Linked DNA regions of Schizosaccharomyces pombe. Changing the gene in region 2 together with the main gene of any one other region gives a genetic interaction. Each region holds a gene or a part of one and is shown on either strand. Other genes may lie near its edges.

Evidence for each region. Genes that interact genetically often act in the same process or in processes that back each other up.
Region 1: of gad8 (region 2) and ryh1, a mutation in one rescues a mutant of the other (synthetic rescue), as found in Schizosaccharomyces pombe (2 studies listed by BioGRID, with this or other methods).
Region 3: of gad8 (region 2) and git5, extra expression of one rescues a mutant of the other (dosage rescue), as found in Schizosaccharomyces pombe (one study listed by BioGRID).

The regions. Positions count from the first base shown.
Region 1 is NC_003424.3:1,191,756-1,198,249, forward strand, and holds ryh1 (Rab family GTPase Ryh1), read right to left. Parts: upstream 3,391-6,494; 5' UTR 3,282-3,390; coding exon 3,159-3,281; exon of another isoform or gene 3,116-3,158; coding exon 2,956-3,115; intron 2,879-2,955; exon of another isoform or gene 2,877-2,878; coding exon 2,765-2,876; exon of another isoform or gene 2,653-2,764; coding exon 2,442-2,652; 3' UTR 1,859-2,441; coding exon of another isoform or gene 1,442-1,858; 3' UTR 1,391-1,441; coding exon of another isoform or gene 1,307-1,390; 3' UTR 1,256-1,306; coding exon of another isoform or gene 1,161-1,255; 3' UTR 1,087-1,160; coding exon of another isoform or gene 1,024-1,086; 3' UTR 950-1,023; downstream 1-949. Other genes in the region: pseudouridine-5'-phosphatase Pud1, read left to right, coding at 790-837, 907-949, 1,024-1,086, 1,161-1,255, 1,307-1,390, 1,442-1,858; SPOM_SPAC4C5.03 (multispanning membrane protein, CTNS/PQ domain protein), read left to right, coding at 5,240-6,148. UniProt on the Schizosaccharomyces pombe protein: Has a role in retrograde traffricking of proteins from the endosome to the Golgi. Involved in protein transport to the plasma membrane. Involved in the secretory pathway where it has a role in acid phosphatase secretion.
Region 2 is NC_003421.2:909,570-917,344, forward strand, and holds gad8 (serine/threonine protein kinase (AGC family) Gad8), read left to right. Parts: upstream 1-2,930; 5' UTR 2,931-3,547; coding exon 3,548-3,569; intron 3,570-3,640; coding exon 3,641-5,328; 3' UTR 5,329-5,669; downstream 5,670-7,775. Other genes in the region: SPOM_SPCC24B10.06 (uncharacterized protein), read left to right, coding at 941-1,064, 1,279-1,429, 1,495-1,690; SAGA complex subunit Ada2, read right to left, coding at 5,813-7,126. UniProt on the Schizosaccharomyces pombe protein: Involved in a signaling module for sexual development and cell growth under stressed conditions. Required for G1 arrest under nitrogen starvation and for growth at high temperature and osmolarity.
Region 3 is NC_003423.3:1,460,907-1,466,691, reverse strand, and holds git5 (heterotrimeric G protein beta (WD repeat) subunit Git5), read right to left. Parts: upstream 2,844-5,785; 5' UTR 2,367-2,843; coding exon 1,449-2,366; 3' UTR 947-1,448; downstream 1-946. Other genes in the region: putative alpha-1,2-mannosyltransferase Omh5, read left to right, coding at 1-554, 657-881; mug93 (TPR repeat-containing protein), read right to left, coding at 3,609-4,593, 4,748-4,857, 4,917-4,973; ribosome biogenesis protein Llp1, read right to left, coding at 5,625-5,785. UniProt on the Schizosaccharomyces pombe protein: Beta subunit of the heterotrimeric guanine nucleotide-binding protein (G protein) involved in glucose-induced cAMP signaling.

The sequences.
Region 1 (6,494 bases), on a different chromosome or scaffold from region 2:
ATGTCAAATGTTTTATTTCTCTATTCACTGTACATAAATGATACAGGATAGGTTCATCATTGCTTATAGTCAGCTGGATATTATTCATTGATATATAATGAGAGCCTAACAGAACCAGTATTATTCAATTTGGAAATGAACGATCTCAGTGTCAAAATATTCATCACCTTCATAGAAAAATATCCCAAAACAATCGCTAACTTACACTACCTGGGTACCGCGATATAGATAAGTAAATTACAAGGAAAATTCACCACAGCTTAAGGCATCATTAAAACCGGATTACAATTTCATGGTTAATATAAACGCTTAATTCTCTTTCAGTAGTGCGGTTGAATTCTCACTAAAACAGATTAACGAACTCTTCAATATTGCTCCCAATCATCCGACACACGGATTTACTCTAATCTACGATTGTTGATTACTTATTGCAGTTTGCACAGTTTTGGGATTTAGCTATTTTTCATTCTGCCTAATTATCACGCCTTACTGTATCGACGTTTCTTTGTTGATCTTTAACAACTGTCCTTATTTTTTGGTTTTTCGCGGATTTTTTTAATTAGATATACAGTTAACACTTCATTTGTCGGTGTCTTTGTTTTCTTTAATTGTATTTGTATATTTAATTGTTAATTCTTGTTTTGGAAGATTTTATACTTTTTTATTGGTTATACAGCAATATACTTTTTTGAAACTTGATTTTTTGGATATCCCGGAAGTTTTTTTTCTGCTTTTTTTTTTCTTTGGTTTTGTTAGGTCGTAGAAGCTTCACTATCTTTTTACCTAGAAATGGCTGCTAAACACGTAAAATACATGGCTTGTCTATTCGATATGGATGTATGTTTATTTTTCACACCACATTACCTCTTATGAAAGCTTTTGCATTAACAATCACTCTTTTTACAGGGTCTACTTGTCGACAGTGAAACTATTTATACAAAGACGACCAGTATGTAAATAATATATCTGTGCTTATATTTAGCACAAAACTACAATGTTTTCTAATCTTTATTTTTTTTATAGATCTTATATTGGACAGGTATGGCAAGGATCCTCTTCCTATTTCTGTTAAGGCTCAAATGATGGGTATGTTATATAAAGCTAGCGAAGAGATATTTTAAAATGCTTTCAAAATTGCAGGTCTAACTTGCGATACGTAGGGAGACCGGGTTCCGCAGCTGCCAAGGTTGTTATAGATTGGTCCAACATTCCTATGACTCCTCAACAATTCGTTGATGAACAACAGGTTATTCGGGTACGTACTTATACGCTACATTTATTTCCATTTCAACTAACTTTCTGAAAGGCAAAGTTTTGGTCGTCTTTGAAGCCTATGCCTGGGGCTGAATCTTTGATTAATAACCTCTCCAATCATGGAATTGATATCGGGGTATGTACTCATCCCTACGCTATAATAAAAGTGTGCTAACAGCATCACCAGCTTGCTACTTCCTCTAATACCGCAAATTATAATATGAAGACAGCCCATCTTAAACATATTTTTGAGAAATTTGGTAAAAATGTTATTACAGGTGATAATCCTAGTATTGCACCTGGTCGTGGCAAACCTTTTCCAGACATTTGGCTGAAGGTGTTGAATTTAATAAATGAAAGTAGGAAGCAGCGAGGTTTGAAGGCACTTACACCAAGCCAATGCATTGCCTTTGAAGACAGTATTCCCGGTGTCAAAAGTGCAAAGGCTGCAGGAATGCATGTCATTTGGGTTCCAGATGCTGCCATCAAAAACTTGGTAGGGGATCAGCTGAATGAGATTGTTGATTCTCAATGTGAGACGTTACCGAGTCTTTCAGAGTTTGATATAAACAAATATCTTAACATAAATTCAAAGCAGGCCTAGAGGTTATATCCGCTAACTTTTTTTTGGTTCATTCAATTTTTTTTGGCAAAAAACCTCATATCTTTTAATAAAATTAAAAAATTGAAGTATAAATAAAGTTCTACTGTTTCAATGAAAACCTTGAACTGACTCACATAGCATAAATAACTTATGAGTAAAGGGAAAAAGCGAAATCTAAAAAAAAAAAAATAATAACATTTCTCTGAATTCCAAAATCATACATTGTAATTTTTTTCCTTCTTTGCAAATGCCCTTGAAAAGTCAAGAAGCACCGCAGGGATTAAACGAAAGAGACTTATTCAGAAATTCAACTTCTCACTTTTGTAAAGCATATATCATAGAGACAGGATTAAAATAAAAAAGGACTAAAACAAGTAAAAAAAGAAGGAAAAGGAAACAGGTATAAAAGGAATCGCGATTCTTTAAAGGTGCAAAAGATTTAGGGGCTATAAGAAGATATATATATACTCACAGTATACTTTTTGAGGGTCAAATGACATTAAAAACCGCTGATTGCGGCCTGAAGCGAAAAAAAATAATTCACGAAACAGTTAGAGTACACTGACATGTTCAATGAGATACACTAGCAATTGCAGCTGCTTTCATTCTCGTTAGGCTGAATGCTAACGTCAATCATTTGAGTGCTTTGTGTTTCCACATTCTCCATGCCTGGTAACATTTGTGCAATTTTCCTAAACAACAGTTTTACATTGTGACCCGCTTTAGCACTAGTTTCCATGTGCATTATTTTTAATTCTTTTGCCTTTTTTTCTCCTTCTTCTTGAGTCACTTGCCTAAACCACCGTTAGCATAAGAACCATCAAAAACCAAAATATAGCTTTGGAATTATGAATGAAGAGATGTCGCATTGTAAATGCTGAATCTCTGTTAGCTGGAGTGTCATACCTTTTATCAGCCAAGTCCGTTTTATTACCAACGAGAACAATTATAACGTCGTCTCCCCGCTCAGCACGAACATCTTCAATCCATTTCTCAGTATTTACAAAAGAGTTATGGTCTATAAGTAGTTAGCAGATATTCGAAAATAAAGTCTGAGTAAAAATATATGGCAAAATTACTGTGCCACTATTACTTACTAGTGATATCGTAAACAATAATAGCAACAGAAGAATCCCTAATATACGAAGGAATTAAAGAACGGAAACGTTCTTGACCAGCAGTATCCCATAGTTGAAGACGAACCGTTCGATCTTCCAAATACATAGTCTTGCTTAGAAAGTCTATACCAATAGTAGCCTTGGACCCTGTTAGTAAAGAAGTTTTAATTATAGTTACTTACTTGATAAGTATTATCAAACTGATCGTACATAAATCGTGTAATTAACGATGTTTTGCCAACTGACTGCTCACCGAGAAAAACCAACTTAAATTTACGCAAAGAAAACGAGTAATTTTCTGACATTATGACAAAAAGTTTTGACTTCTAAATATACACAGACAAAAGTAATTTAGATACAGACGGAATTGCTTATTGATGATCAAAAAGCACCGTACTTAATAGTGGTAGTAGTGAGTAAAGACTATCGTGCTACAGTGAGATCCCGCCGCATATCCTTAATATACTTTCGCTTGTTTTACTTTTCATTCGCTTTTACGAAGTTTAATCTCGGTAAAGTAATTCTATAACAAACAACTTTTTCGCTGAAAAAGAAATCATGAACTCTCACCGTTCTTAAATTACTAAGCATTCCTAAAGATGGGTTCTTTTTCTTTGAGTTGTTGATAGTGATAGGTTTTTGGGTGTTAAAAAACATACAGCTGTAACAACAGTTTGTTTACTACTCATAGTTTTATACACAACATTTCAAGGAATGACAACTGGGATAAAAACGCGCCACATCGCATGGGAAGGAGGAGTCATCGAGATTTGATTATCATTAAACTATATAATACAAGAAATCTCTCGATTGGAATGGCCTAATTTTTGCTGAGAGTAGCTAAGTTTACAAAAAAATATTGGACACGCTGGGGATTGAACCCAGGACGACTCGCATGCAAAGCGAGCATGCTACCACTGCATCACATGCCCAAACATTGAAGGCTTCAGCATATTAGTAAAGTATAAGGTAATTTTTTTGTTTAGTAGCTGATGAAAGAAGGAAAATGGAAAGTAGTTAAACCATAGAACAAGCTTGAAATTCAACATAATGGCTTTATTCCATTTGAAATTTTATTAGAATGTTTCATAATCTACGCATCCTGTCTGCTACCAAGTTCAAGATTGGCAGACTGCACCAAACTGTTCGAAAAATGTATGTTTGTTAACTTGAATAAAACTAGCTGTTAAACGAGTCAGATTTAAGCAAAATATAAGCTTTACAGGAAAATATACTCGAGTTAATTTAGCAAACTCGGTCATTTCATTAATGATACAATTAGCTACGGAACAGCCAAGTCAAATTTTATACTTAATGTCAACAATAACAGGTTAGTTAGTGGGTTTTAATTTAATAATTTTCGAAATCAATAAAAGAGTAAATAGTATGGCTTTTCAAGCTTAGATTCTTTTAAAAATAAATTTTTTTTTTATTTGTATCCTTATTGCAATATGACGAAAAGTTCAAGAAAGATAAGAGAATTAAAAACTAAGTTATTTCATAATTATTAGCTGCTGTTTGGAATAAAAAATCTCGGAATTTAATGATAAGATGAAAAAGAATTTAAAAAGTAAATATGTAGTTATATATCCTATAAAAAATTTGGTTCAAACGATTAATTTAGATTATTTAGAATCTTTAAAAAGATAATGGGGTTAAAAACAAAAGAACTTGATTTTAGATTCAATTTAGAAATTTTTTTGTAAAGTGTCTTGATGTATTTCAATTTTTAGATGTGTAGCGCCATTTCATTTCACTCATGTTTTTAAAAGAGAAAAAAATTTACCTAGTTTATTAAGATATACAATTCATTCAGTTCCTTTTATCTTCTTCTATAATTCATTGTTTATTTACTTATTTATTTTCTCCAATGTCAAATTTATAGCACTTTAAATATCGCAAAATTTCAATATTATACGTTACAGCTCACAACTTTGTGTCTAAGCCCTCCGACTAATGTAGCTTACACTGCCTCTCCTTTCCCCATTTTCGACAAAATTAAATGAAAAATCCAATTTTTTGGCGATTCTTCCTTTTACTTATTTATTAAACACCAATTATTTCAAAAGGAAATTTTAAATTGTCTTTCCTTAGTGACGCTTGTTCAATAAGCCCCAAAGTTAGCAACCTTTACTTCATCGTACCATTATTGGCAGCCCAGGCATCGTTTATTTATATATTTTTATACAAAGCATTAGAAATTAACTTCGTATTGCATTTCTTTATTACGATTTTATTATAGGAGACGAAGTACGTATGAACGATGGAGTTTAGCACGAGCAGTTTCATTTTTGATGATGATACACCACCGAAGTGCCCTTTGGCAACAAAAGCTAGCTTTATCTTTTCAGTGTATATTATCATAGGCCTCATCATTTCTTACCTGTTACAAATCTTTCGCATTGTTCGTCTCGGAAGTTCGCAAGGCTTAAGTTTTTCTTACCTTATTTTGGGTTACATAGGTGTTCTTAATGCGTTCTCAAATGTCATTGCTCTACAAATTAGCCCTTTAACTGAATGCTGTCAAAATTACTATTCCAAAAAGCAATGCTTTGCTAACACAACCGGTTTAATTCAAGTGGGTTCTCAGGTACTTATTATGGGTTGTGTTCTTATGGCTTTCTGGATGTTTCTCCCTCGACCTATTCACTTTGTTGCAGCAGATGACGAAAATGGTTTACCAATCCCTGAGCCTTTAAGTGTAACGAAAAGTCGTAAATGGCGAAAAGCATCTTATGGGCTACTTGGTGTATTTACTTGGGGATTGTTTATCATCTGTCTATCCGCAACCGTCCTTAGTTCGAACTTTGCTTGGGCAGCATTCCTTGGATTTAGCGCTTCATTCTGCGCGGTCGTTCAGTATGTTCCTCAAATCATAAAAACTATACGCCATCAAAGCCATGGTGCCCTTAGTATCCCAATGATGATGATGCAAACTCCGGGTGGATTTTTGATCGGATATTTACTATCCAGGTTGCCCGGTACTAATTGGACTACGTACATGATGTATATTGTCAGCGCATGCCTTCAAGGATTGTTATTAATGCTTTGCATGTTTTATTTGCACAAAGAAAAAAGTAGAAGAAAGAGGGAGGAATTGCAGGCCACTTTACAGGAAGAAGAAAGTCAGCGAGCTGTACGAATTTTGGAAGCCGAAACTGGTCCCGAATAATAACATTTTCTTTATGTTTTCACGTCCCTTATCTATTTGTTTACCGAAAAAATTCCTAATATTTGTTTCATTCAGTTAGTAAGGTTTACTCTTCAAAAATTTTTTCCGCACATTAGAATTGGATTGCGTGATGTTATACGTTTTGCTTTTAAATCCATGAACCACTGGTATTTATTTTATTTTTTCCCACTTGATGAATTTCAGCACTCTTAGTCAGATTCTAGTATTCCCTTTCCCACATTGCTATAGATTTGCTTATTTGTTACTTAATCTAATCTGTTTATTTTATGTAGAATAACATTGAAAACGCTGTTTCGCTTCTCAATTACCAAGAATATGGTGTGAA
Region 2 (7,775 bases):
TGCATTATACCTCCTGCTTAAAAAATCTAAAAGATGGTTTATTTGTTCAGTACACTTTCAGAGATGTGAAGTTGTCTGGGCTTTTTTTATTCTTAAAATGAAATGATTTTTGTTCTTCAAATTTGGACCATTTATTAATATTGACGTTAAGGTTTATAGACAAGACTTGTATGTATAGACCCTTCTTGTTTTTAAATGGCTAGTACAAATCATGATTTATTTGGATCCTCATTACAGTAATCGATGACTATAGATTTATGAAACTTGTAAAAAAGTACGTCTCTTTCTTTTTCAAATCTCCCTCTTTATTTAAATCTTAAGCACTAGCTAAAAGACACTCCTGCTTTGCAATTCGTAAAGAATTTCTGTACTAACTTGGAAGATGCTAAATGAATATAAAGTGTTAGGATACTCTTTTCGCTTTCCATACGCAATGTCAATGTTCCGCAATTTGACCATCACGATTCCAATTGCTATGCTTATATACTACAAGATCAAATCTTTCGTGGACTTTTCCCGGCCAGTTTACAGTCCTTTCAAACTTTTAGTCTGCGGACTTCAGTAGTAAATTGGCTTACATTTTTACTACAAATGACTTTGGACTACAACCAAACTTGGAAAATTGCCTAACTAAAACATTTTTTCTTCATTTCCCTGTTCACATTTAATTAAATTAACTAAAAAACCAATTCAAATAATAAAATTCTGATTTGTTTATGTTTTTACCTGAAACAATTCTATGGGAGTAACATCTTGTTACCTGTTTTGAGGAAGTGAATAGGTACGGCTGTCACGGTGCGTGTACGTAACATTAACCTAAACCAGTGGCATATATATTGGTATATATATCTACTTTGCTGTGTGCTGCTAATTGATAAACCATTCCCTTCTTCTTTATTTATCTAGTGCTTAAAAGCTGTACTTCTTATCCATTTGCAAAATGTTTGGAAAAGTTTCATCGCTTTTGGTTTTTGCTTCATTCTTGATCATTCAGGGTGCTTTCGCTACTTTGGTGGCTCCCATTGGAGATCTCGAGCATTTATCTGAAATTGAATTGCTCTACAGTAAGTACATTGAGGCTATGTAAAAAGTTTGCTGTCCATCCAACTCGTGCACTTAATGTTGTATAATGTCGTAGACCGAGTTTTTGTCATTTAATCATTGTTTAAATATTTTAATATTTAAACTTTGGTATTCTTTTTACATCCCTTCTCTATTCTCTATGTCTCTGTCTTTATATTTTGTGACTATGTGAAATAGCTAACTCAGTATATTTAGCTAATCGTGTTTTGCCCTCAAAAATTCCTTTGACCCCATTTGTTAAGAGGGATGATGATTCTAGTTCAACTCAGGCAAGTTACTCTACTACTGTGAGCGATGTTGTGATTGTCACCGACAAATCTTGGTCGGATGGTGTAGAAACCATTTTGTAAGTCATGCTTGTCATTTTATGGAAACTATTTGTTTGTGTAAAATTACTAATATTATTTTTAGTCCTTATAGTTACACCGAATATCAACCATCTACTACTTACACTTCTGCACCTGCCGGATCCATTGGATACGCAGCATCCATTCCCAATACAGGGCGCGAATTGATGGAGAGTGGGTCCCCTGTCCGGTTTTCCAAGAGTTCATTATTGATTGTTTCACTCTTGAGCATTGCTGCTTTTGCCGCTTTAGTCCTTTAAAAATTCAACCGGAACCTACCCCCTAACATTCACCTGAAAATTTCTCTTTAGGGATTTTCTAAACTTAGATATAGTTTTTGATTCTACTTTACTCTTTTAAAATTTTTGTTGCTACTTACACTGTCAATTCTATATCTGCGCTCGATAACCGGTTTCTTTTTTTAGGCGCTTTGGCAAACTCGTCTCATCCCTTTAAATAAAACACACAAAGGGAGCTCTCTGTGAGAAAATTCAAAACTCTGAAGAAACATCGCTTTTACTAGTGAGGAGCCTTCTAGAAGTAACTACGAAAAGAATTTGCTTTTCTCATGGGTAAGTAAGGGTTTGCCTACAGTTGAGTGAGTCATCAGTTTCAACAAATTTCGTTCTTTTCATAAATTCATTGTTCATGTTTTATTTCTGTTTTATATGTTATTTTATTTTATTTTATTTGAAAATGTTTTTTGTTTTTCAGTTCTCTTTGGATTTATATACACTTTGAAGGACTTGTACGAAGCGTCCAGTGTATTAAAAGTAGAGCATTGGTATACAAATTGCTTTTCCGTTAAATTGCTTTATCTTTTTTTTTCGCTTGTTGCACAAGGAACTGAAATTTTACAAAACGCATCGTACTTGGAAGTTGCAAAAATCTGATGGAAGGCATAAATAAATGACTTGTTTTGTAAAGAGGATATTGCAATCCTAACGGTGGTATTTACATGCTTCTATAATTATTTTAAAACAAATAAAGTTAATTGGTCTGCTAAGCTACACATACGCGTAAACGGCATTTTGCGTTTGTCCGCAGATAATTGTCAAGATAATTATTTGTATTGTTTTGCTATATACTTCGTTTTGTAAATTGATCCATTTGAGTGCTGTTTCTTGACACGTGTAGTATAAATCCTATGTTTCAATTTAGGTCACTACAAACTTGAGCAAGTTACCACTTACAAGAGTACACCAGCACTTTTAATTTCTCTATATTAATATTCCATCTTTTTGACATTACTAAGTTAACTAATTTAATAGCTGATATGTAAAACACCATTGCAAAGAACTTTTATATATAGTGCAATCGTACGAGAAAAGGGTCTATAATTTTTGATCATTATACGACAAACCTGCGTAATGTGCCGACCGTATCGGTAGCTCTCCTTATAATATTTTATCGAACTCACGTTGTTCTGCCGCAAAAAGCTGCTGTCTTGTACCACTTGTATTTTAGGAATACGGATGATCCGAGCTGGCCACATCTACTGACTGCCAATACGACCTAACAAAGGGAATATCAAACGAAAGCATTTTTGACATCAAATTTTATTTCATTGACTTTAACGTATTTAGTGCTGTCGATTGGTTTCAATTTCGTCAAAATTTCCGCGAGGTGAAGGCGACTTTGCTCAAAGTCGTAATACCAAAATCGGCTTAGAAATCGACTTTATCAACGAAGCATTCCTTTAGTAGGGATTTTGGAATAAAAGAGATTGCGATTTATTTTGAATTTTAAAATCAACACCCTTGCTTACTACTTATCGGGATTAGATTTCTTTGACGAATTTACTACTATACTGACATTACCAAACGCCTGTATCCCCTTTCGTTTATTCAAAAAAAATTGCAACTTGTGCTTACTTTTTATTTTATTTTTTTTTTGGATTTGATTTGATTGTTCGTTCGTATTCGCTTACTGGTACACTTCCCGTTTTTGTCTTCGAATTAGTCCATAAATACGTTTTTTGTTAGATTGAAGCTTTTTTGCAGCCTCGTTACCTTATTCTTTATCATTTTCGTTATATTAAAAGAAAAGATAGAGGGAAAGCGAGCTTTTAAAAATCAGTTCATTTTTTTTTTCTACTCCAAACAGACGTTACCGAAATGTCCTGGAAACTTACAAAGAGTATGTATTCCATAATACGGGTTATCACACTCTGTCTTTCTTTTTCATACTAACAGCTTTTCGCTTTTTAGAATTAAAAGAAACTCATCTAGCATCCGCTATTGGCCTGAACTCTGGCGGCTCTAGTTTTACTAGAGGTCTGAAAAACAGTACTTTATCCTCTACTTCTTCTCGTAAATCAAGTGATGAAAAATCTCGGAAAAGCTCGGAGGATAAACGGTCTCCCCAAAGTACCGTCGTGCAGCCTGGTTTATTGCAGGTCACAATTATAGAAGCTAGAAATTTAAAATTACCGTCGGGACATGTTCCTGCCAACTACGGGGTTTCCATTGACAATTCTTTACTTGCCCCTCCACTTAGTAATGGCTCGGGACACGCAAGGTCTCGTAGTCATGCTTGGTGGTTACCTTATATCGTCGTTGAATTCGACAAAAATGAAATCTTAGTAGATGCTCTAAATACTGCAAGCCTTGAAAATCCTTGCTGGGATTATCAGGCAACTTTTGACGTTTCCCGTTATTCCAAACTCTCCCTGAATATTTACCTTCGTTCTTCATCCAGCCGCTCGCGCAACGGTATGGGGAATGACGCTTTCCTAGGCGGGATTAAACTGTCGCCTTCTTTCATTGTAAACAAGCTTACAGACGAATGGGTACCCCTGCATGGGGGTAGCGGTGAACTTCGTGTTCAAATGCTTTACAAACCCAATCAAAGTACCCCTTTAACCATTGATGCATTTGAACTATTGAAAGTGGTTGGCAAAGGCTCTTTTGGAAAAGTCATGCAAGTGCGTAAGCGTGACACTTCTCGTATCTATGCTTTAAAAACTATGAAAAAAGCCCACATTGTATCTCGCAGTGAAGTAGATCACACATTGGCTGAGAGGACAGTACTTGCTCAAGTTAATAACCCTTTTATTGTTCCATTAAAGTTCTCCTTTCAATCTCCCGGTAAGCTGTATCTTGTCCTGGCCTTTGTTAACGGTGGTGAGTTATTTCATCACTTACAAAGAGAAGGCTGTTTTGATACATATCGTGCCAAATTTTACATTGCTGAACTACTTGTTGCTTTGGAATGTTTGCATGAGTTCAACGTTATTTATCGAGACTTAAAACCGGAAAACATATTATTAGACTACACCGGTCATATTGCTTTGTGTGATTTTGGACTTTGTAAGCTAAACATGGCTAAAACCGATAGAACGAATACTTTTTGTGGCACCCCTGAATACCTCGCTCCTGAATTGCTTTTGGGTCATGGTTATACAAAAGTTGTTGACTGGTGGACTTTAGGTGTGCTACTTTACGAAATGATTACAGGACTTCCTCCTTTTTATGATGAAAATATAAACGAAATGTACCGAAAAATTCTTCAAGATCCCTTGCGATTCCCAGACAACATTGACGAGAAAGCAAAAGATTTATTGAGTGGATTGTTGACCCGCGCTCCAGAGAAGCGGCTGGGTAGTGGAGGGGCGCAAGAAATAAAAAATCACCCTTTCTTTGATGATATCGACTGGAAAAAGTTATGCGCCAAGAAGATACAGCCACCCTTTAAACCAAGCGTTGAATCAGCTATCGATACTAGTAATTTTGATTCTGAATTTACATCGGAAATCCCAATGGATAGTGTTGTTGCCGATTCTCACTTATCTGAAACCGTTCAACAAAGGTTTGCCAATTGGAGCTATCAACGACCAACAACCATTGATACATCCGACGACATTAATACAATAGCACCTGGAAGTGTCATTAGGTGATGAATTTGACACTTCTTTGTTTATTTTGAAAGTTTTCTCATTTTTACTCATACATGCCGCTTTTCTTGCCTCTTTTACATATTTGTATGTTATAAAGGCCAAAGCTTCGTTCATTTCTCATTATTGTCATCTTTTTTTGTCGTACAAGATCATTTTCTATTACTATTATTATTATCATTATTATTATTATTATTACTGACAACCTCAAGTCTTTGAAGATTATTTATTTTTTGTCAGCTGAGAAAAAGTCTCAGATATTGTTGGATGTAGTGTTTTTTGTTCTTGTAGTTTCCGAAATTACTAGTGTAGAAAATTGATGGAAAACTCTTTTTAATTATTAAGCATAAGAACGTAACGGCTATTGAAAAGGGAAAAAAAGACGGAGATGTAATTAAAGGTGAAGGGGTAATTAGTAAAATTACATTTCAAAACGTAAAGGTAATAAACAAGAGTAATATGAAAAAGGTAAAAGAAACCAGTACTTTTAGGTTGGAGCGCCAATCCACCGAGCATTATGGAAGAAGTCGTACACCTGTTCGACTTTATTAGCGTCTAAGTGTTTAAATAAATTAACTGCATCGGTTTTTTGAAATGGTTTTTTGGAAGTCAGTGAAGCCGATATTAAGGCAAATTTTAGAGCCAAAAATGGTTTAGGGAAAATCTGCAGTTTTGAGCAAAGCGCTTGCTCATCCTCTGAAAGCAGTTGCCGATCAGCGGAAGCAGAAAACATTGTGGGAGTCGCTGGTTTTCGAGGAACAATCTTTTGAATGTCACGAACTTGAAAAGGAGCGGAAGTGGTTTGGTTAAACGACTTAACATGCCTCAATTGCTTATCATATGAAGCAGAAGCTTTACTTAAGAGGAATTTTTGCGTTTTATCGCGTTCATATTTATGTCCTTGTTCGAGTGTAGTAAGACCCATCTGTCGCCATTCCTGTAAATCAGAAATTTGTTTTTTTAGGGTTATTTGCTCGTGATAGCTGTTCACGAACTTTTGGTAATCAGGGCCCGTCAAAAGTCGAGCAAATGCTTTTGTTTTATTAAGTAAGTTTCGTTCCTCTTTTGACATGCGCTTCTCATTCGCCTGTAGCCGTCGATAATCTAAAAGGTTGTGATTGAAAATGGTTTGTTTACGAACAGCCCGACGAGTAAGACGGGAATTATATATGTTAAGCATAGTCAGCTTAAGTTGCATTTCATGCTTTGCTGACTCGTGTAAATCGTCATCAAAATTCATATCCTTTATGGGCAGTTCAGCTTCGTTCATGTACTCTTGATCAAATTCAAGACGGCCCGGCATATAGCCTTGGATTTCGTGGCATTGGGGTGTAGATGCTAGAGGCTTTTGAGGAATAATCGGTGGAGGCTGAAAAGCTTCAATACGAGCTCGTTTCCGTGCCGCAAATGCTATGCGATCCACCGGTCCAGGGAGCTCTACGCTTGCTAATGGATAGCAATCCGACTCAATATAGGTTTTCAGATAATGATCCCGACATTCTTCTTTCGTCCGAGCATTTCCCACATAGTCTGCAATGTCAGCCCAGTTTCCAAGGCCCAGTGTTTCACAAGCATCGATTAGTAAGAGTTCCTCATCAGCACCCCAATTTTCGTCGAAAATAGGGTATGAATTGGTTTCAATAATCCTATACGGATGAGACGGATGGTGAGTTCCTAGGGAGGCACCAGATGTAAAGCAGGGGATGCACAAATCGAAGTCAACACATTCTACGCACCGAATATGAATGGATCTTGTTATATCTTGGGCGCAGACGTTGCAATGATACTTTTGAGGAGGCATCCTGCTTCATGTGCAAAATTTTTCGTCCCTATATGGTGGAGCAAAGTGATGATCCGATGCGTAGAATATCAAAGAAGCTTGAGTAAAATGAGAAGTAAAAGTTGGATTTCAAATATGAAAATTAGATCATTAAACTTAGAAAACTCTTTTGAATACGATTTATTAATAATGGTGGCTGAAGTTGAAGTTTTTGACTTTTCAATATCACCACCAGCAATTACTAAATACGATCGAAACGTGATTGCAATCAGAAAATAAGTTAAAATTCATTCACTGAATAGTTATTTTTGTTTAATAAAAAAATCTGTTGCGTTATATATGGTTTCTTTAACCGGAAGACGGCTTCTGTCTGTCGATAAGGTAGAATCAGAAAGAACTAACTCAGAGTATTAAAAAAACAAGAAAAAAGCAATTCCGGCTTATCAAACGAATCGATTCTGTAAAAATATCACAAAGTTGACATTTACTGGATTGAAGGTCTTTTCTTACTGCCGAAGCGAATGTTTATTTCCCTTTCTCATTTTGAAGAGCACCTGCACTGTCTTGTGCTATGCGACTAACAGGTCCAAGGTTTTTCTCTATTTATATAGCTATGATATTATAATTTCAAATACCATGTTGCCTTTTGGAACAGTTTTATTAAAAGCGT
Region 3 (5,785 bases), on a different chromosome or scaffold from region 2:
TGATAGATGAGAGTATTGCTGAACAAGTTGGAGTCGTATATGCGAACTTTCCTAGTTATCATAAAATGTGCAGATTCTTTTCGCGAAACTTTTACAAACATCCCTTAATGCAACAGTACGAGTGGTATTGGAGACTTGAACCGGAAGTCACTTTTTCTTGTGACATCTCTTATGACCCATTTTACTACATGGACAAGCACAATAAAGTCTACGGATACGTTATTGCTATCAAAGAACTTGCAAAAACTGTTCCAAATCTGTTTCGGTACACTGTTGCTCATCAAAAAATATCCAATTTACCAACTACCGATCTTTGGAGCTTCTTCCTTGATAAACGCTATGAAACGAGAATTAAAAAGCTGAAAGAAGAACAAAAAGATCAAGGATATTACGTTTTACCGGAGCCCCCTTTAAACCGAATTGATGGCCAGATTTATAATCTATGCCATTTTTGGAGTAACTTCGAAATTGCACGCTTAGACTTTTACAATAGTAAAGAGTATAATGAATATGTCGACGCATTGGAAAATGCTGGAGGATTTTGGACTGAAAGGGTATGTTTTTACAGTTTATTCAAAAAAAAAAAAGCATTGTGTTCTTCGAAGTGCAATCTTCTTCATACTTTTTTCCTATCTCTGATTACTAACTTATTTTAGTGGGGCGATGCTCCGGTGCATTCGCTAGCAGTGGGTCTTCTCCTTAATCGATCTCAAGTCCATTACTTTAGAGACCTTGGGTATCAACATTCCACAATTCAACACTGTGGTCAAGAATATGGTTGTAATTGTGATTGCCCCTTCAACATACCCGATTATGAAACTAAGCCAGGTTCTTGTATTAACGAGTGGGCATCGGTGATGGGGGGATTTTTAGATGAATAAGAGCGAATACGGGTACTTTACGCTCTTTGTATTATAGCTATTTACAGTTTCTTTCAATTCGTAGTATACATACATAGAATTTTATTTAATAAAAGAATTTAATATTTGGGTTGTTCTTTCATAAAAATAAGTTTTAAAAAACAGCAAGACAACATTTATAAAAAAGTTTATTATCATACGTAAGAAGAAAAATACCTTTAAGAAAAAAAGACTAAAGGGTAATCGTTAGGATTAAACGTTTACAAAATCGCAATAATTAAATAGTAATAAAAAAGCGCCAACCTTTGCAAGGCGAAATTTTCGAAAAGGTATATTTTTGTTTAGAAATAAAAGAGAAACGTAACGAAAAAAATAGGGAATTAGTACACAAGGGTTTATGAATACATTATCAGTAAAGCATCACGAAACCACGCATAAACGTATAAAAAATTAAGAAAAATAATAAACCAGTGGGACATGAAGCAGTCAACCTCCTAGAATCGAAAACGTAAATGTATAAGAAAAAAAAACAAAACAAACATCATCATTTCCAAAGACAAAAAAAAAAGGAGAAAAAAAATCATTAATTTACCCTGACGAAGACCAGAGACGAACACATTCGTCCCAAGAGCCAGTTGCCAACATTGTTCCATCAGAAGTTAAAGCTAAAGAGCTAATTCGATTTTCATGGCCTGTTAATGATGTGATGGTTTTGCTTGAGATGGAATCCCAAACCTCGCATGTTTTATCTTTTGCGATAAAAAGAAGTTTTCCAGACTTGGAAAATAAGACTGAATTAATGGGGGAGGATGATGGAGATGAATACTGGAATATCTCAGCAGAAGCACGAATGTCAAAGCACCGAGCGATACCATCCTCTGCACCCGTAACAAAATCAGCGTTAGAAGGAAAAAAGGAAATGGAATTAATATCCGATGTATTTCCGGGAAATGTGGCACAACAATAAGCAGCCCGAAGGTCCCAGAGCTTGGCTAATTTGTCACAGCCTCCGGTAACAAATAAATTGGGATTTGAGGGTAGGAAATCTAGAGAGACAATATCCATTTCATGACCTTTCAAAACGCTAATGGCTTTTGCCTGCTCTATGTCCCAAAACATGCAAGTTTTATCGCCAGAACCCGTAAGCAAATGACCGTCATCGACATACTTACAGCACGAAACAAATCCTGCATGCCCAACCAATTCGACCGGATCCGCATCTGGAACACTGGTATCGTATACTACGCAAAAGTTGTTCAGCCCTCCAGCTGCTATGCTCTTAGTGGAGGGTGAGAATGCACAAGTCATAATCCATACGCTTGGTGCTTCAAAGAACGCAACTTTGTTGGAAGTGTGCAAATCCCAAACTAACAGAACATCATTCGTTGATGCAGATAATAAGTACTTTCCATCTGTAGATATGTCGATGTCAGGAATTTTTCCCAGCTTGTTTTTGAGAACTCGAGTCCCTTGAATGTTGACGTTTACTCTTGACCCAGAATCCATCTTTAGAAATTGAACCAGTATTCCGTCTAATATTCATACAACAGTAACGTAACTGTTCCTATACGATATACTCACAAAGAAAGGGGAGGAAATAAGGATACTAAAGATCTTAGGAAGAAAAGCGAAAAGAATATAAATCCACCTGATAAACTACTCTCACAACAACAAATTTAGAATACTCCTACAGGGGTGCCCAACTTTAAATCCACCCTAAAGAGTAAAAAATAAAAGAAAAACAATACAAAAAAAAGGAAGAGAATAGTAATGGTGCTTCGTTTAAAGAATTGCAAGCTCTAATGTTAAAATTGGCGTTCGCCTTTGAAACAATTTTACGATGACAAGCCTCTATACAATCTATTATTCTAATACAAGCACAAAAACATAAACACCAAAAGGACCAACGTATCGTTTTTCAACAAACACAAAAAAACGGCTTTCTTCGCTTTTTTACTGGAATTTATGTAAAGAGCTAAGGTCAAAAGAAGAGTATTGGGAAACCGTCATAGTGTGTGCAGCGTAACACAAACATATGGAATACGTCATCCTCATCGTAAGCATATAATAGCCGATTCATTCTGCGGTTTTCAACTTGTAGACTACCATAACCTTGCCATACCGATAAAATTGTATGAAATGAACGTTTAGTTAATAGAGATAATAGAAAATTGAAAAACCTGCATTAGACATATATTTTTTTGCTGTTGTAGCGATTATGAGAAAAGGGTTGCTTTACCACGTTGGCTGTGTATCTGTGAAATGGCTTTGTTATAAATAAACAAGCAATTTAGTAACAGAGATGTAGATATTTTGGATATCTTTTTTATTTTGATTAAATCGTGAATATGCGATTCATGGCATATACTCAGAGTATGAGAAACGGCAGTATTGGTGTGCAACACAAAACTGTCTTGAAAGTTTTTTTGTCTCTTTCATTTTGTTCAATTTCTTTAACAATTACACTTAACATTTGACGGACAATACTTGTGTATTGGGTCGATGACTGTCTTCATTGCTTGGTGTATCCGGCGGTAAACAAAATGGCAAACATTTCTACTTTGCCCACAAATATATAGCTTCATGTGGTTGATAATGATTATTTCAGCACTGAAAATAAGAGGTTGATATACAATGAATGTGTTATTCATAAACTACACACGGTTATTAATGCCTTCTACTCCAAATGATTGCATCGATGGTTTCTGGACTGACTTAACATACAAAAATTTATTGTCATCAATGTTATCATGTGTAGCAATTGATTGGGATCTCTGCAATTTCAAATTCAGAAGAGAGATCAGTATTGTTGATGGGTTTTTTGGAAACATGCCAGTTTCTGAATTCTTCTTCTTGGATGTCAGGAATATGCAAAAGAATTTGAGCTGCCGTTATATGTAAACAATGTTGCACGACAAAACTGAACCACGGCAGCCCACTCAACGCTTGCATCAGCGATCGTGCCTTGTCGGACCATTGCTTGCAAAACCTTGAACACAATCCGATATAGTGTATTGATTTTAAGAATAAATTTAACTGCTCAACCGACATTCCATGAGCTTTGAACAATTGATTAATTGTGGAAATAGGAAATGAAAACGTTTCAATGTACAAACAGGGGGCAGATAGGACTTTTATCATATAAAGAAACTGATCTATGTTTTGAGGGCATGGGTAATTGGATCTGTACAGTTCCTCTGGGACCAATAGAGAGTGTTCTCCCTTAGTTATTTTATTTTCTAATTCGTCCTCCGAGCTTTCTATTCCGATTTGGGCGCTGGGCGAGTGATTTTCGGTATCATCCTTTGCATAAGTATTTGCCATGTAAAGCATAGACCGCATTGCTGAAAGATTCTCCTTTTTCAGTTCGCATTGCTGTCCACACAATTGGCAATTGTCGTGCACTTTCTTCCACCAGATCTTGCCACGAATTATATTAGGGTATTGTTTTCGCAATCCTACAGGTAATTGCTGAGAAGAAGCAACTCTAAGGTGTCTTAACTGCCATGTTTCTGCACATTCTCTGTAAATGTAATACACTTCCTTTAATCTATGAAGAGATTTTTGGATGTATGTATTGTTTGGGTCCAGTTCAAGTGAATGCTCCCAATCACGATTGGCTAAGTGAGGATGTCCAAGTCGCAAATAAGCTAGTCCTCTCCTCCATATCACTTTTTTATCATACGGATTGATGACTAGAGCATATGTACAGTCATGAACTACTTTAGTATAGCTGCATGCAAAATAAGTTAGTTAGCATAAAAGCAAAACTGCTGCAAAGGTTCAGACGATGTTTTTTTTTCTTTCGAGAAACCCCGTTAATAATCCAAAGGATTCTCTGAACCTTTGTGACATAGGTAATTTGTTAAATTTATTATGTTACATACGATTTTTTGCGCAAATGAGTTAATGAGCTATCGGCGTAAACCGGTGTAATGGTGTTTTCATTTCCAATTGCATTAAGGAATTCATCAAAAACATCTATTTCTCGTGTGTTCTGTTTATTGAGGGTTAGAAACGTTACAAACATCTTCTGGTAATCAAAGTAGAGCATACCTCTAGTGCAACATAATTGCTTTTTTCCACCAAGTTTACGTTCTCCTTTTCTTCCATTGCGATTTTGAATGCAGATGGTTCAAATCAGATGGAATGTCAATCTATTTGTTTATGTGGTAGAACAATATTGGAATGTATGTGTGAAGGCATATCATAACCATGTGCACTTTTGTAAACAAACAATAACTAAAATTATATTTTAAGCGATAAAAAATACGCAAATAAAATTAATTTAATATTTAGATATTCATACTTTATTACATTTCTGTAAAAATCAGGTTTTACAACCAAGAGCATTACTAATTCTATTTCATGTGGTAAACAAAGCAAAAAGCACGATTTAAAAGTGCAGTTTTTGAGACAGAGAGACGTTATTAGTTACATCGTACTTAATTACAATAAATATAAAAAATAAAATTAAAAAATTGACTTATTCCAACAATATAGAAACTTCATCGTGAAAAAAAGTAAGTCTTTGAAACAAAATATTCATTATTGGAAAAAAATATGTTTTTATAAAGAATAATATAAAATAATCCAAACCCCCCAAAAGCAAACAAAATCCTTATGCAACACGGTCAACGTCTCCAGTTGAAAACCAGAAATTTGAAAATAAAATTATCCCAAGGAAAAAAATCTGAGAAAAAAGATTGATAATTAGTTCTTAAAAAGATCTCGGAGTTTATATATTAAATGGTGAACTTAAATTTACTTTTTCTTCAAAAATTTCGAAAAGTTACTGTTCTTGGCACGCTTTCCTTTCTTTAAATGTTTCTTTGCCCATTTGTTGCGATTGTTGTCACGAGGACCAGAAGTAGAGACTTTAGGCTGATCAACTTCCATACCAACGTTATCGGATACTTCTGAAC